Stegostoma tigrinum: one gene and its partner. The protein of the gene in region 2 purifies or fractionates together with the protein of the main gene of each other region. This does not show direct contact. Links are inferred from orthologs where the notes say so. Each region holds a gene or a part of one and is shown on either strand. Other genes may lie near its edges. The genes, in order: ubiquinol-cytochrome-c reductase complex assembly factor 2 and ubiquinol-cytochrome-c reductase complex assembly factor 1.

Evidence for each region.
Region 1: the proteins of ubiquinol-cytochrome-c reductase complex assembly factor 1 (region 2) and ubiquinol-cytochrome-c reductase complex assembly factor 2 purify together in Homo sapiens (co-immunoprecipitation; 3 studies listed by BioGRID and IntAct, counting the BioPlex papers as one, with this or other methods). This does not show direct contact. The link is inferred for Stegostoma tigrinum from reciprocal best matches to the Homo sapiens genes UQCC1 and UQCC2.

The regions. Positions count from the first base shown.
Region 1 is NC_081374.1:28,865,425-28,874,402, forward strand, and holds the start of ubiquinol-cytochrome-c reductase complex assembly factor 2, read right to left. Parts: upstream 3,874-8,978; 5' UTR 3,772-3,873; coding exon 3,634-3,771; intron 1-3,633.
Region 2 is NC_081372.1:7,934,810-7,943,492, reverse strand, and holds the start of ubiquinol-cytochrome-c reductase complex assembly factor 1, read left to right. Parts: upstream 1-4,337; 5' UTR 4,338-4,446; coding exon 4,447-4,464; intron 4,465-8,683. UniProt on the Homo sapiens protein: Required for the assembly of the ubiquinol-cytochrome c reductase complex (mitochondrial respiratory chain complex III or cytochrome b-c1 complex). Involved in cytochrome b translation and/or stability.

The DNA of each region.
Region 1 (8,978 bases), on a different chromosome or scaffold from region 2:
AATTCTCTCTGGGGTTTTAAATCCATGGAATTTTTTTAAACCAGAGAATTGCTGAGACTGGATCGTTAAACATATTCAAGGCTGAGAGGCATTTTAATTAGTAAGAGAATGTGGAGTTGTGTAAATGGGAAGTAAGTGGTGTTGATAATTATCAGTTAATCCATGATCTCAACGAATGACGGTGCAGATTCAATAGGCTGAATGGCTTATTTCTGTTATGTTTTATGGTCTTACTAATTTAAATTTCCTGACTGAATCTCGTATCTCTTTATTCCCTTAAGAGTTGAAAACTCTAGTGATGTAAGCCCTGAATATTTCAATAACTGAGTCTTCACAACTCTGGGACAGAGAATTCCAAGTTCTCTTAGGGGAGAACCTTCTCATTTCAACGCAAACTGGATATCCCCTTATCTTGAGGTTATGGTCTCTTATCCTTGGTTCTCCAGATTGGAACAACAGACTCTACAGCAAAAGTCATGTATAAAGAGCAAGTTTGTTTCTCAATTTAAAACAAAGAGCAGATAAAAATTATTGAAGTGAATGCAGAATTGGCAGGAAGTTGACAGTGTGTTCCAAATATGCTCATGCTCACATATCTAGGCTGATGTTTCACAGCAGTACTGTAGTATTGCTGCACTGTCTGATTATTGTTCAGTTCAGACATTAACAAGTCCGTTGGCTTTGAGCATTTAGGTGAATGCTAAGATTTCCGAGGAGTCCTTACACCCAAGATCTAGTGAATATTTCCAACATAACAACCTTAAAGTTGACTAATTGCTCCTCTAAGTCACTGCTTTTGAAATTTAAAGGCAGCTAAGAACTAATAGAAATGTAAGTCTACCATCCTTTCCATTAATAGCGTATCAATAATGCTATATTATCTGCATACACTGGCAAGGCAATATTTATTGTCCATTGCTCTCTACCCAATGGTAACAAATCAACTGCAATCTGGAATCACACATACCAGAGCAGACTCAGCTTGCATGTTTCTCCCTGAAATGTGTTAGTGGACCATCTGGTAATTTTTTTAAAAAATTAGATCTGGCAGCTCCCAATCATGTTTCTTTTCTGCTGGCAGCCTGTATGTTAGTTACCACATTTCTACATTCAAGTTCACAACATGTCATGATTGGATTTAAACTGTCAAACTCCAATAATCACGAAGCTTCCATAACTCCCATCAGTTGACAACTGCATGTAGTTAAATACGTGAACACTAAGTCTTTTAAGTTATGAAATCCCTTCCATTTTGTTAACCTATCATAATAGTATACTATTATGTACTGTTAAAATTCAAAGTACTGCAGTGAATTTTCTGGTACATTGAAATAGAGACAGGAAAACACGCATTCGAAATTTTTAAAAAGCCAGCTTTTTGTAGCTCCATTTGTTTTTCAATTGAATTCTCTAAGCTGATCAAATACAGATTCAATATCATTTTGGTTTTATCTACTCTATCAATTTACAATTAAAATGGCAAATTAAAAATCCTGGCACACGAAAACAGCCACTGTAGAATTTAATTTCTGTATTATGCAATATATACCATGACAAAATAAAAACTGGAGGAGATGGTAGATAACCCAGTTAGCTGCAGGAAATAATTAAAATTAGGAGGTCTGATGAAATTATAGTGGTAGCTATTTCACATATTATTTTTCACCAAGATTTCAGTTGCTAAGATAGTCAAATACTACAGTTATTGGGATGTGGAGAAACAAATATAAACAACAGAGAAAGGAGTTTTCTAAGAACCAAAGTTAGCATAGACTTTCCAATAACTGGGGAATTGGCAGCAAGATACTGAAACAAATAAATTACTGAAGAAACATTTAATTTCAGCGGAGAAATAAAAATGACTTGCAACCCTAAAACCCCAAGACCTTTGAAATAACGTTCTCCTGAAATGGATTGTAAAAATTGTTGAAAATGTCAAGCTAGAAAAAAGGAAATCCGTTCTGCGTGACATCAGAAATATAATACTTATACAGAGCAAGATCATTTCTTTGCCAAGTGGTCTGAAGCTCAGAAAGTGGAACACAGGCAAACAATAGTTACAATGATGCCTGCAACTCAGGTTCTGTTCACTGATATGAATTTGTTGGGATTGTAAAAGGCCAAATGATAAACGATATGCCATTAATCATAGTTAGACAGACCTCAGCTAGACTGTCATTGCTGCTACTCCCACTGTTTTACTTGGGAATGAGAAATTGACTATTAGTTTGCTACTTCCTAGGTTCTTATGATGGTCTCCATATTTCAAGCATCAGGCAAGGAAAAAAAAGTTATCAGACCCTGCATCTTCAAAGTGGCTCCAATTGCAATCTAGGCAACTGTTGGAAGGTAGTTAATTGGGATATGCATGAAGCAGTCCGTGTCCCGACTATATTAATTTCCTGCAAAGGTTATCAAAAAAACATGCATTAATGCATTGATGAAAGTTATGTAAGCAAGCTGCTGATAGGAAAGATCTTGTAAGAATCTCTTTCAGGGCTCATATGGCACAGTGACACTGTCCCTATCTCTCAGTGTCCTAGATTCAAGTTCCACCTGCTCCAAAGGTGAGTCATAACACCTCAAAACAGGTTGATTGGAAATCGTCTGCAACAGTCTCTTTCATAGGGGAAAAAGTATTTGATAAACTAATAGGACCAAGGGCAAAGAAGTTGCCTGGTAAGGGAGTTAGTGACAAGGAATTAGTAAAGTAAATGCTTACAAAAAGAACGAGGCAGAGTTGAAAAGTGACATTATTTATGTATAGTTCAGGTACATATGGATGCTTTGGAGAGGGTTCAGAGGAGGTTTACCAGGATGCTGCCTGGACTGGAGGGCTTATCTTATGAAGAGAGGTTGACTGAGCTCGGTCTCTTTTCATTGGAGAAAAGGAGGAGGAGAGGGGACCTAATTGAGGTATACAAGATAATGAGAGGCATAGATAGAGTTGATAGCCAGAGACTATTTCCCAGGGCAGAAATGGCTAGCACGAGGGGTCATAGTTTTAAGCTGGTTGGTGGAAAGTATAGAGGGGATGTCAGAGGCAGGTTCTTTACGCAGAGAGTTGTGAGAGCATGGAATGCGTTGCCAGCAGTTGTGGAAGCAAGGTCATTGGGGTCATTTAAGGGACTGCTGGACATGCATATGGTCACAGAAATTTGAGGGTGCATACATGAGGATCAATGGTCGGCACAACATTGTGGGCTGAAGGGCCTGTTCTGTGCTGTACTGTTCTATGTTCTACATATCTTTTGAGGGAAAATAAATAGTTGCTTGAATCAGAGAAAGAACAAGTTGTGGAGAGAGACAGCAGTGTAATTAGATTTTCATGTTGAGTGAGCAAAAAGCCAGCAAAGAAGGACACTGAGAGATAGGGACAGTGTCACCGTGCCATATGAGCCCTGAAAGAGATTCTTACAAGATCTTTCCTATCATTAGCACTTTGCTTACATAACCTTCATCAATGCATTAGTGCATGTTTTTTATAACCTTTGCAGGAAATTAATACAGTCGGGACACAGACTGCTTTATGCATATCCCGCCCCCCACCTCCGACCCCCTACCCCAGGCCCGTTTCCGCCACCCCCCCACCCCCCCCCCCCCACCTCCGACCCCCTAACCCCTCCGCTTTACCTGGGAGCTCTCCCCTTCTCGGAAACCTTGCGCCACTTTCTGGCGGATGAAAGCCCCGAGGTCTCGGCCTTTCTTGGTCTGATCCAGAGGCCACTCCTCGCAGAGTTTCAGGAAGCGGCGATACCGGGTCGCAGCCATTCCTGAGGGCCACACCGGCCACTGTCCAACACCTTCACCGGCTCTGCCGGCACCGACCCTTCAACAGCCAACAAAATGGCGCGTGCAGGTGTGCGCATGTGCGGTCCCGGTAGCCTGTTCCGCCTGAGGAGATCGTGCTGTTTGAGCTGTCAATCATTGAGAACCCTTGTGCTGTCTGTACCAACTCTTCGCATCATTTGCAGGAGTCAGAGTACAAGTTTTGAAATTAGATTTTTTTTTCACTCGATGTTTACTGCATCTCCTGTCACGTTTCTCAGAGTGTCCTAGATCTGGATTGATTGCTAAACAGCTTGCAGAACCTGCTAGGTGTATTGGAAATGCAGAAAAAAGCGGAACGTCTGTTCGTAGGAACCTCACACAGCTACAAGGTTATCAGATGGATGTTACTAAGGCGCGATGCAGGTCACGGCTGTGGCTGGCCTAAGCATCCTGTTATAGCAGTTCCTGCTGCCCACTGGACCAGGAGGGAGCCATATCGTACTCGAAACATCCACTCTGTTTCTCTCCTCACAGATGCTGACAGATCTGCTGAGTTTCTCCAGCACTGTTTTTATTTAAAGCAACAGATAATTTTCTGTATGTTTTAGACACAATGGAATGCCCTCATCAATGCAGAATTGTCCACTGGAGTCTGTAGTCACCAGTCATCCCAGCAGTAACATGGATTTGTCACCCATTTACACCATTTAATTGAATTGTAAATCATGTGAATACAAGTGCCACTGAAGCAGGGATTTTTTTTTGTGAGGAGTTTGCACAAGTTTCTGCATTTGTTTGCATTGTAGTTTTGCACCAGAAGAGGAACCAGCAACCAGAAGAGGAAACCTCATCTATCCCATCAAACCCAAGCTGGTATGTGATCATGACAGAAGGAAAACACAAATTAAATCAAGTTGTATCAAGGTGTATATCAAATATAACATGATTATATTTAATATTGACTTTTACTTTATCAGATGGACACATGAAATTTAAAAAAAATGTTTAAACAAAAGATGTTAACTAGCAAGATGCGCACATCTATTATACATTATTGTACATTCCACGTAATTTGGCCATCCTCCCCTGGCCTGTATGAGAAATTTGTTAACTTGGCTTGTAATCAGAGCGTTCAGAAGTATGAGAAAAATCTAATTGATGTGTATGCAATTTTAACAGGCCAGGACAGACAAGATGCCAGAGGATGTTTTCCCTGGTTGAGGAGTCGAGAAGCAGGGGACACAGTCTCAGGATAAGAGGTGGACTAGTGAAAAGCCGGTGGAGGCCAAATCACTGAATATATTCAAACAAAAGATAGAGATGGTATGGAAACAGACTCCTCTGTCCAACTAGTCTACGCCAACCACGTTCCCAAACTAAACTTGTCCCACTTGCTTGTGTTTTGGCCCATGTCCCTCCAAACATTTCTGATTCATGTACCTGTCCAAATGTCTTTTAAATGTTGTAACTGTACCTGCATCCACCACTTCCTCTGGCAGTTCATTTCCGCAATCGAACCACTCTGTATGAAGAAGTTGCCCCTCATGTCCTTACTGAAAAATTCTTCTCTCACCTGAAAAGTATGCCCCTCAGTTTTGAACTCTCCCACCCAAGGAGAAAGATCCTTGCTATTCACCTTATCAATGCCCCGCATAATTTTGTAAACCTCTATAAGGCCACCCCTCAACCTCCCATGCTCCAGTGAAAAAAAGTCCCAGACAATTCAGCCACTCCTTATATCACAAACCATTCATTCCTGCAACATCCTAGTAACTCTTTTCTGAATCATCTTCAATTTAATAATATCCTTCCTACAGCAGAGCAACCAGAACTACACACAGTACTCCGCAAGAGGCCTCGCCAACATCCTGTGCAACTTCAACATGACACCCCAACTCTTTTACTCTAAGGCCTGAGCAATGAAGACAGGTGTGCTGGATGCCTTCATAACCACCCTGTCAACCTGATTCACTTTTAAAGACATCAGGAATACAGCGATAAAATGAGAATATGGAATTAAGTTAGAGGATCGACTGTGATCATATTGAATGATGTGGAGGTGCTGTTGTTGTAGTGGACTGGACAATGTCAAAAATCACACAACACCAGGCTATAGTTTGTATAAACAGGTTTATTTGAAGATATTTGAAGACGGAGTGAGTCTCCAAAACCTTGCGTCTTAAGATAAACCTGTTCGACTATAACCTGGTGTTGTGTGATTTTTGGCCATGTTGAATGGAGGAACAGGCTCAAAAGCCTAAATGATCAAATCCCACTCCTAGTTTTTGTTTAACCTCTAATCTTGTGTGTTGAGCTTCAAGTGCATGTACATGCGCGTGTGGGAAGTCAAAGTATATTTTATTATTATTTTCCCAAGTCAGTTTTAGTAGAACAAAACTAATCTCTGTATTTGTTGAACTCAAGAAACTAAGTCGATTAATTCTTTTATGATAACATGTAAACAGTTAAGTAATCAGATTTGGCAACAATAACCATTTTTAAACAAAAAAATGCCTGTCACGATTAAACAAGGAGGGAGAAAAGGGAGGAGCCATTTCATCACCTGGTCATAACACAAGTTTGCATCAATTCTGCTGATCTCACCATCCATTATTCGTCAGTCCAGTAACACCAAAAGATAGACCACATTTAGCTGGTGACACTTCTTTACAAGTCCACCATTATCTAAGCAATACTGATAAAATGAGAGTCACAACCCATTAAGAACCTGAGAAATCATACATTGGGCAGTTTGGCTGAAAGTTTCAGATACCTTGATCAACAGAACATAGAACAGTACAGCACATTACAGGCTCTTCGGCCCACGATGTTGTGCCGTGGAATAATCCCAATCCAAAAATAAGATAACCTAACCTGTATTCCCCTCAATCCACTGCTGTCCATGTGCATGTCCAGCTTAAATGTCATGAATGACTCCGCTTCCATGACTAACACTGGTAAACTACTCCATGCGCTCACAACTCTCTGGGTGAAGAACCTCCCTCTGACGTCTCCTCTATACCTTCCTTCTAACACCTTAAAACTATGACCCCTCGTGGCAGTCAGCCCTGCCCTGAGGAAAGGTCTCTGGCTATCGACTCTATCAATGCCTCTCATTACCTTGTACATCTCGATCAGGTCACCTCTCTTCCTCCTTCTCTCCAGAGAGAAAAGTCCAAGCTCAGTCAACCTCTCCTCGTAAGACAAGCCCTCCAGTCCAGGCAGCATCCTGGTAAACCTCCTTTGCACCCTCTCCAAAGCCTCCACATCTTTCCTATAATAGGGCGACCAGAATTGGACACAATATTCCAAGTGTGGTCTCACCAGGGTTTTGTAGAGCTGCAGCATAACCTCGCGGCTCTTAAACTCGATCGCCCTGTTAATGAAAGCCAAAACACCATATGCTTTCTTAACAACCTTATCCACCTGGGTAGCAACTTTGAGGGAGCTATGCACTTGAACACCAAGATCCCGCTGTTCCTCCACACTGCCAAGAATCCTGCCTTTAATCCTATATTCAGCATTTAAGTTCAGCCTTCCAAAATGCATCACTTCGCATTTATCCAGGTTGAACTCCATCTGCCATTTCTCAGCCCAGCTCTGCATTCTGTCAATGTCTTGCTGAAGCCTGCAATAGCCCTTGATACTATCAACGGCACCTCCAACCTTTGTGTCATCAGCAAACATACTAACCCACCCCTCAACCTCCTCATCCAAGTCATTTATAAAAACTACAAAGAACAGAGGCTCAAGAACAGACCCCTGTGGGACACCACTCAGCACTGATCTCCAGCCAGAATATTTGCCATCTACAACCACTCTCTGCCTCCTGTCAGCCAACCAATTCTGAATCCAGACAGCTAAATCACCCTGTATCCCATACCTCCTGACTTTATGAATGAGCCTGCCGTGGGGAACCTTATCGAATACCTTGCTGAAGTCCATGTACACCACACCCACTGCTCGACCCTTATCGACCTTTCTCGTGACTTCCTCAAATAACTCAATAAGATTTGTGAGGCCTGACCTGCCCCTCACAAAGCCATGCTGACTCCCTTTAATCACGCTATGCTTTTCTAAATAGTCATAAATCCTATCCCTCAGAATTCTTTCCAAAACCTTGCTGACCACAGACGTAAGAGTGACTGGTCTGTAATTTCCAGGGATTACCCTACTCCCTTTCTTGAAAAGAGGAACAACATTTGCCTCCCTCCTATCTTCTGGTACGACTCCCATGGAGAGTGAGGAAGCAAAGATCTTCACCAGCGGCTTAGCAACCTCCTTTCTCACTTCCCGGAGCAACCTAGGATAAATCTGGTCTGGCCCTGGGGACTTATCAATCTTAATGTTTGCCAGAATTTCCAGCACATCAACTTCCTCAGTCTTGATCTGTTCAAGCCAGTTTCCCTGCTCCCCAAAGCTCTCATTCACAACAAGGTCCCTTTCCTTAGTGAAAACCGAAGCAAAATACTCATTTAGGGCTTCCCCTATCTGCTCAGACTCCACGCACAAGTTCGCTACGCTATCCCTGATCGGCCCTACCTTCTCCCTGATCATTCTCTTATTACTTACATTATGAGTAAAATGCCTTCAGGTTCTCCCTAATCCTTCCTGCCAAGCCTTTCTCGTGTCCCCTCCTGGCCCTCCTCAGTCCACTTTTGAGCTCCTTCCGAGCAAGCCTGTAATCCTCTAAAGCTGGTCATACAAAATGTGCCATTTTATTCTAGTTATGCATCACTCTGCATAATATAACAATTCAGAGAGTGTTACATGGAAAAAAAACAATATCATGCTTTATCCATTGCTAAGTTGGAAAAAATTGAATGATGGTGATGAAAAGTCATAAGAAGGAAGGGCATCAAAATACAATGCAGGGACTAGTTGATAGAGTGATGCTTGTGGTGACGTCTGCACCACTGTATCTGTAAAATCAGGTAAAACACAGTCTTATTACCCCTTTGATTCTTCTCATTGAAAATATGCCGCCAAACACAATGGAAATGTCTTTAAACAATTGAGCCAAAGAAACTGTAACCCAAAGCAACTGGAGACCGAAGATGCAAATGTAATACATGTGTTTATCTTCCTTCCCAACAGAATATTATTCTAGTGATTTTTTTTGTCATCTAAGTGATTAACCAATTATGCCTTACTAAAAGGGCATTTTTACTAACTCATCTCTTCTATGATGTGCCCTTTGAATTGCT
Region 2 (8,683 bases):
TGGTTACCATAAAGGCATCTCCTTCTCAACATCTCTCATCATCTGAAGTGTGGTGACTGTCAGATTAAAGCACCACCAGTAGCCCCTGACTAATGAGAGAGCAGCCCTGCAGACCAAGAACAAATTTACTTTATTGTGTTATGATAACAGCAAATATGGACTATCAACATTCAACCTAACATCTGATTTTAAGACCTGACGTCTTTTTAAAAAGGACAAAGTTTTGATCTGTGATCACCTGACCATTGTCCGAGTGAATGCTGGAGAAACTCTGCAGGACACACAGCATTTGTGAACAGAGTTAATGTTTCAAAGTTTCTGGGAACTGAAGGGGGCTGGAAATTTTTTTTTAATATCCTAGTTACAAAAAGGTAGGAGGAGAAAATGGAACAAGCAGTGAGAGTGCCCACAGCAAAAGCCAAAGGGAATGCTAATAGATGAGGGATATGGATCAAAATAATGTGTTAATGGTAGATGCAAACAGCAGAAAATAGATCAAAGGAGGTGAAATGTACAAAACAGAGAACAAGAGATAACAAGGTGTGGAGCTGGAGGAACACAGCAGCCCAGGCAGCATCAGAGGAGCAGGAAAGTTGACATTTCAGATTGGGACCCTTCTTCAGAAATGGGGAGGGGAGGGGAGCTCAGAAATAAATAGAGAGAGGAGGGGTGGTGCTGGGGAAGGTAGGTGAGACGGTGATAGGTGGGGAGGTGGGGATTGGTCAGTCGAGTGGGAGGGTGGGCAGGTGGGAGAGAAGACAGGCAGGTTGTGTTTGGTCAAGCAGGCGGGGATGAGAGGGAGGGTTGGGCATGGGATGAGGTTGGGGGGTGGGGAGATTTTAAAACTGATTAAATCCACATTTAGGCCATCATGTTGTAGGCTCCCAAGGTGGAATATGAGGTGCTGCTCCTCCAGTTTGCGGGTGGCATCATTGTTACACTGGAGGCGGCCCAGGATGGACATGTCGCCCAGGGATTGGGAGGGGGAGTTAAAATGGTTGGTGACTAGAAGGTGTTGTTTGTCGTGTACAGAGTGCAGGTGCTCTACAAAACAGTCTCTGAGCTTCCATTTGGTCTCACTGATGTGGAAGATGCCACATCAGGAGCAGCAGATGCAGTAGAATAAGTTGACGGATGTGCCGGTGAACTCCTGTGTAATGTGGAACTTTTGTTTTTTGCCTTGGATGGAGTTGAGGGGGGAGGTGTAGGGGCAGGTGTAGCACTTCCTGCGGTTGCAGGGAAAAGTACTGGGGGTTAGTGGGGAGTGTGGAGCGGATGAGCGATTTGCAGAGAGCACAGAGCCTACGAAAAACAGATGGGGTGGGGAGGGAAATGTACAAAATCTGTTAGCACTGGGACTATGATTTCATCCAAAAACAATGGAAATGAGATCTATTTGATTAACCGAGTGTGCACAAATGGAGCTATGCTACTGTGATGCCAGATGACATGAATCTGGTCTATAAGAACATAAGAACTAAGAGCAGGAGTAGGCCATTCGGCCCTTCGAGCCCGCTCTGATATTCAATAAGATCATAGCTGATCTTTTCATGGGCTCAGATCCACTTACCCATGTTCTCATCGTATCACTTAATTCCTTTATTATTCAAAAAAAAACTACCTTCGCTTTAAAAACATTTACTGAAGTAGCATCAACTGCTTCACTGGGCAAGGAATTCCATAGATTAACAATCCTCTGGGTGAAGAAGTTCCTTCTCAATTCAGTCCTAAATCTGCTCCCTCTAATCTTGAGGCTATGCCCTCTTGTCCTAGCTTCACCTGCCAGTGGGAACATCCTCTCTACTTATATCTTATCTATTCGCTTCATAATTTTATATGTTTCTATAAGATCCACTCTCAATATTTTCAATTCCAATGAATATAATCCCAATCTACTCAGTCAATAAGCCTTGAAATAAGCTGTTCTATTTTAACAACTTTTATATACAGTTATGTTCAGTCAGCTTGTTGCAGTTCATTCAGAAGAGTAGATCACTGCAGGTCATTCAAGTAGTAAACTTTCAAAATGTGAAATTCTGCCAGCCTCTGAGGAACTCACTTCGGCTAGATATTAATTGCTCTCTAATTTGTGCTTGCTGCCCCTCACCCCCAGCCCACGGAGGGAAAAGCAAGTTAAAAACATTAATAGTTAGAAATGAACATCCTGGTCATACATTTTGAAGCACACAAGACCAGGCAGACCAATGTATATTACTTACCATAGTTCTGAAGTTCTGTTTTCTTGTTACAGATGCTGACAGACCTGCTGAGTTTCTCCACCAATTTCTGTTTTTGTTTGTCTCGGATCTCCAGCATCCACAGCTCTTTGTTTTATTTCATTGTGTCATTCATCAGCCTAGGGTTTTCCTTCTGAGTAAGCGTCAGACTGTCCTGCCTGGAGACACTCCAAACAATTTTAAAGGGGGTAATAGTTTCTGAAGGACGGCCATTAATTTAAAATATTATCCTTCTAAACCATATTCTCACTGTTCCTTGTGGTTCCAATTTATCAATAGAGTGTGATTAACAGCCACGATATCCCTCCACTAAGTAGGGGCTTGAACAATGCGGGAAACATCCACGATGGTTCAGTTCATGTATTAAAAGGCAAAAACACTTGGATAGTCAGCATGAAGAGGGAGACTTTTCAACTAGTGAAACCAGTTACAATTGACACCTTGTTTTTACTTCCAGTGGCCTGTAGAACGTGTACAGCTAGTTTGGCGTCAAGCATGGCATAGTGCCTGGGGCAAATCACACTCAGTTGAAAATCTCAACATTCAGGACGCACCGTGCAGTTGTGAATAGCAATAAAAATGTTAATAACCTATATAGAACCTTATTAAACTATGAACATTACACTTTGCTGTCCTGAGTATCTCTCAGTTGTATTATGTGTAGGTGATCATGTATTTCTGGCAGTAGACTTACAGGTTGATTTGGAACTATATAATTCTAGGATGTGGAGGTGCCACTGTTGGAGTGGGGTGGACAAGGTCAGAAGTCAGACAACATCAGGTTAGAAAAACTGAAAGAACTGCAGATTCTGTAAATCAGGGACAAAAACAGAAATTGCTGGAAAAGCTCAGCAGGTCTGGCAGCATCCATGAAAAAATATCAGAGTTAACATTTCTGGTCCGGTGACCCTTCCTCACAAGGGGAAATCGTGTCTTGACACCAGGTTATAATCCAACAGGCTTATCTGAAATCACAATCTTCTCGGAGCATTGCTCCTTCAGCAGGTGAAGTGAGACAGAATCACACGAGCACAGAATTTATGGGTGGAGAGATCAATGGGCAGAAGATCAAAAGATCATACAAATGGCGCAAGTGGAGCGTCAACAGGCCGAATAGTAGGTCTCTGCGGGTAATCAAGTGTCAGACAATGTTTAAAGTGTCAACAGCTGAATAGAAAGTGAAAGGATGACCTGCAATCTGATGAAACAAGACAGTGAGATAGTTACAAAAAAAAACAAGGTGGTGCTGGAGACAAACCAAACGACTGGAATAACATGATAGATGGAAGAGTTGTGTGTCAAAGGGTCCAACCAAAGTAATAAGTATTCCAAAACTGTACAAACTAATTAGAGAGATCATAACAATTTATCAAAGTGAAGGTGTCAAAACAGTACAGTATGGAATATTTCACAGACACAGAAGTGTAGTGGGATAACGTGTAGCACCACATGAATCCAAGATCACGGTTTTATTTAATGGTTTTATGATTTTAATACTCTTATTTTGAATCTGAGTCTACCATAACCTTAACGAATAAGTTCATGCTTAAAGAATTTTGTGATCTCTCTTAGACCATTCATTTCACACGTGTTTCATTGCAGTGGACACAAACGTGTACAAATGAATTAACATGTTTTTTAAACGAGGAATTTTGGTTTTGAAAGGTTGCAGAAATATTTTCACAGTTTTCTTTCATCTCTGTTAGTTTTCTGGGACAATTTCTGGTTTATTGTCTTTCTAAAGGAACTGTTTATTTCCTATTCTAGTTACAGGCAGCAGACAATGTCAGGGGCTGTGATGGTGGCCCGGGTGAGAGCTCTCCCTGAAAGACAAGCACAAGCCCCAGCCCCCAGCCCCCAGACCCCGACCCCGACCCCAGCCCCCAGACCCCAGCCCCCAGCCCCCAGACCCCGGATCCCAGCCCCAGCCCCCAGGCCCCAGACCCCAGACCCCAGCCCCCAGACCCCAGCCCCCAGACCCCAGCCCCCAGCCCCCAGACCCCAGACCCCAGACCCAGCACAGGGGCAGCCCGGGCTCTCTCCACCACCAGGATCCCTGTCCCTGTCCGGGTCAACAACGCTCCCCGGCCCAGGGCGGAATGTTTGTTCCGCGGGGGGACCCGGAACAGAAAGCGGGGCGGACCATTTCCGGTCTAAGCGGCGTGAGACTCTGGGGACAGGGAAGGACAGTCCTTTAGATCCGCGGGGTATGAGTGGCCTCCCCCTGGTGAGTGGGGTTAAGGGGGTGGGGGTGGGGGAGGGGGGGTGAGGGGGAGGGGGGGGAGTGACGAGAGGGTGAGGGTGGTTGGAGAGGGGGTGAGGGTGGTTGGAGAGGGGGTGGGGGGGTCGGAGGGGAGGTGAGGGTGGTTGGAGAGGGGGTGGGGGGGTCGGAGGGGAGGTGAGGGAGGGGGAGATGGTGGTCGGAGGGGAGGTGAGGGAGGGGGAGATGGTGGTCGGAGGGGGGTGAGGGAGAGGTTGAGGGTGGTTTGAGGGGGGGGTGTGGGAGAGGGTGAGGGTGGTTGGAGGGGAGGGTGAGGGTGGTTGGAGGGGAGGGTGAGGGTGGTTGGGGGGGGGTGAGGGTGGTTGGGGGGGGGTGAGGGTGGTGGGGAGGGTGAGGGTGGTGGGGAGGGTGAGGGTGGGAGATGTGGGTGAGGGTGGTTGGAGGGGGGGTGAGGGTGGTTGGAGGGGGGGGGTGGTTGGAGGGGGGGTGAGGGTGGTTGGAGGGGGGGGTGGGGGTGGGGGTGGGGGTGGGGGTGGTTGGAGGGGGGGTGGGGGTGGTTGGAGGAGGGGTGAGGGGGGCGTGAGGGTGTTTGGGGGGGGTGAGGGTGGTTGGATGGGGGGTTAGGGTGGTGTGAGGGTAGTTAGAGGGGGAGGTGGGGGGGTGAGGGTGGTTGGACGGGGGGGTGAGGGAGAGGGTGAGGGAGGTTGGACGGGAGGGTGTGGGAGAGGGTGAGGGAGGTTGGACGGGGGGGTGTGGGAGAGGGTGAGGGAGGTTGGACGGGGGGGTGTGGGAGAGGGTGAGGGAGGTTGGACGGGGGGGTGTGGGAGAGGGTGAGGGTGGTTGGACGGGGGGGAGTGCGAGAGGGTGAGGGTGGTTGGACGGGGGGGTGTGGGAGAGGGTGAGGGTGGTTGGACGGGGGGGGTGGGAGAGGGTGAGGGTGGTTGGACGGGGGGGTGTGGGAGAGGGTGAGGGTGGTTGGACGGGGGGAGTGGGAGAGGGTGAGGGTGGTTGGACGGGGGTGTGTGGGAGAGGGTGAGGGTGGTTGGACGGGGGTGTGTGGGAGAGGGTGAGGGTGGTTGGAGGGGGGGGGTGTGGGAGAGGGTGAGGGTGGTGAGAGGGGGGGGTGTTGGAGAGGGTGAGGGTGGTGAGAGGGGGGGGTGTTGGAGAGGGTGAGGGTGGTGAGAGGGGGGGGTGTTGGAGAGGGTGAGGGTGGTGAGAGGGGGGGGTGTTGGAGAGGGTGAGGGTGGTGAGAGGGGGGGGTGTTGGAGAGGGTGAGGGTGGTGAGAGGGGGGGGTGTTGGAGAGGGTGAGGGTGGTGAGAGGGGGGGGTGTGGGAGAGGGTGAGGGTGGTGAGAGGGGGGGGCGTGTGAGAGGGTGAGGGTGGTTGGGGGGGGGGCGTGTGAGAGGGTGAGGGTGGTTGGAGGGGGGGCGTGGGAGAGGGTGAGGGTGGTTGGAGGGGGGGGTGTTGGAGAGGGTGAGGGTGGTGAGAGGGGGGGGTGTTGGAGAGGGTGAGGGTGGTGAGAGGGGGGTGTGTGGGAGTGGGTGAGGGTGGTTGGAGGGGGGGTGTGGGAGAGGGTGAGGGTGGTTGGGGGGGGGGTGTGTGAGAGGGTGAGGGTGGTTGGAGGGGGGGGCGTGGGAGAGGGTGAGGGTGGTTGGAGGGGGGGGGCGTGGGAGAGGGTGAGGGTGGTTGGAGGGGGGGGTGTTGGAGAGGGTGAGGGTGGTGAGAGGGGGGGGTGTTGGAGAGGGTGAGGGTGGTGAGAGGGGGGTGTGTGGGAGTGGGTGAGGGTGGTTGGAGGGGGGGTGTGGGAGAGGGTGAGGGTGGTTGGAGGGGGGGGTGTGGGAGAGGGTGAGGGTGGTTGGAGGGTGGGTGAGGGGGGCGTGAGGGTGTTTGGGGGGGTGAGGGTGGTTGGATGGGGGGTTAGGGTGGTGTGAGGGTGGTTAGAGGGGGAGGTGGGGGGGGTGAGGGTGGTTGGAGGGGGGGGTGAGGGAGAGGGTGAGGGTGGTTGGAGGGGGGGGTGAGGGAGAGGGTGAGGGTGGTTGGAGGGGGGTGTGTGGGAGAGGGAGGGTGGTTGGAGGGGGGTGTGTGGGAGTGGGTGAGGGTGGTTGGAGGGGGGGTGTGGGAGAGGGTGAGGGTGGTTGGAGGGGGGGGTGTGGGAGAGGGTGAGGGTGGTTGGAGGGTGGGTGAGGGGGGCGTGAGGGTGTTTGGGGGGGTGAGGGTGGTTGGATGGGGGGTTAGGGTGGTGTGAGGGTGGTTAGAGGGGGAGGTGGGGGGGTGAGGGTGGTTGGAGGGGGGGGTGAGGGAGAGGGTGAGGGTGGTTGGAGGGGGGTGTGTGGGAGAGGGAGGGTGGTTGGAGGGGGGTGTGTGGGAGAGGGTGAGGGTGGTTGGAGGGGGGTGTGTGGGAGAGGGTGAGGGTGGTTGGAGGGGGGGGTGTGGGAGAGGGTGAGGGTGGTTGGAGGGGGGGGTGTGGGAGAGGGTGAGGGTGGTTGGAGGGGGAGGTGTGGGAGAGGGTGAGGGTGGTTGGATGGGGGGTTAGGGTGGTGTGAGGGTGGTTAGAGGGGGAGGTGGGGGGGTGAGGGTGGTTGGAGGGGGGTGTGTGGGAGAGGGTGAGGGTGGTTGGAGGGGGGTGTGTGGGAGAGGGTGAGGGTGGTTGGAGGGGGGTGTGTGGGAGAGGGAGGGTGGTTGGAGGGGGGTGTGTGGGAGAGGGTGAGGGTGGTTGGAGGGGGGGGGTGTGGGAGAGGGTGAGGGTGGTTGGAGGGGGAGGTGTGGGAGAGGGTGAGGGTGGTTGGAGGGGGTTTGTGGGAGAGGGTGAGGGTGGTTGGAGGGGGGGTGTGGGAGAGGGTGAGGGTGGTTGGAGGGGGAGGCGTGGGAGAGGGTGAGGGTGGTTGGATGGGGGGTTAGGGTGGTGTGAGGGTGGTTAGAGGGGGAGGTGGGGGGGTGAGGGTGGTTGGAGGGGGGTGTGTGGGAGAGGGTGAGGGTGGTTGGAGGGGGGTGTGTGGGAGAGGGAGGGTGGTTGGAGGGGGGTGTGTGGGAGAGGGTGAGGGTGGTTGGAGGGGGGGGGGTGTGGGAGAGGGTGAGGGTGGTTGGAGGGGGAGGTGTGGGAGAGGGTGAGGGGGGTTGGAGGGGGGGTTGTGGGAGAGGGTGAGGGTGGTTGGAGGGGGGGAGTGTGGGAGAGGGTGAGGGTGGTTGGAGGGGGGGAGTGTGGGAGAGGGTGAGGGTGGTTGGAGGGGGGGTGTGGGAGAGGGTGAGGGTGGTTGGAGGGGGGGTGTGGGAGAGGGTGAGGGTGGTTGGAGGGGGGGTGTGGGAGAGGGTGAGGGTGGTTGGAGGGGGGGTGTGGGAGAGGGTGAGGGTGGTTGGAGGGGTGGTGTGGGAGAGGGTGAGGGTGGTTGGGGGGCGGGTGAGGGTGGTTGGAGGGGGGGTGGGGGTGGTTGGAGGAGGGGTGAGGGGGGCGTGAGGGTGTTTGGGGGGGGTGAGGGTGGTTGGATGGGTGGTTAGGGTGGTGTGAGGGTAGTTAGAGGGGGAGGTGGGGGGGTGAGGGTGGTTGGACGGGGGGGTGAGGGAGAGGGTGAGGGAGGTTGGACGGGAGGGTGTGGGAGAGGGTGAGGGAGGTTGGACGGGGGGGTGTGGGAGAGGGTGAGGGAGGTTGGACGGGGGGGTGTGGGAGAGGGTGAGGGAGGTTGGACGGGGGGGTGTGGGAGAGGGTGAGGGTGGTTGGACGGGGGGGAGTGCGAGAGGGTGAGGGTGGTTGGACGGGGGGGTGTGGGAGAGGGTGAGGGTGGTTGGACGGGGGGGTGGGAGAGGGTGAGGGTGGTTGGACGGGGGGGTGTGGGAGAGGGTGAGGGTGGTTGGACGGTGGGGGTGGGAGAGGGTGAGGGTGGTTGGACGGGGGTGTGTGGGAGAGGGTGAGGGTGGTTGGACGGGGGTGTGTGGGAGAGGGTGAGGGTGGTTGGGGGGGGTGTGTGAGAGGGTGAGGGTGGTTGGGGGGGGGGTGTGGGAGAGGGTGAGGGTGGTTGGAGGGGGGGGTGTGGGAGAGGGTGAGGGTGGTTGGAGGGGGGGGTGTGGGAGAGGGGGGGGTGTGGGAGAGGGTGAGGGTGGTTGGAGGGGGAGGTGTGGGAGAGGGTGAGGGTGGTTGGATGGGGGGTTAGGGTGGTGTGAGGGTGGTTAGAGGGGGAGGTGGGGGGGTGAGGGTGGTTGGAGGGGGGTGTGTGGGAGAGGGTGAGGGTGGTTG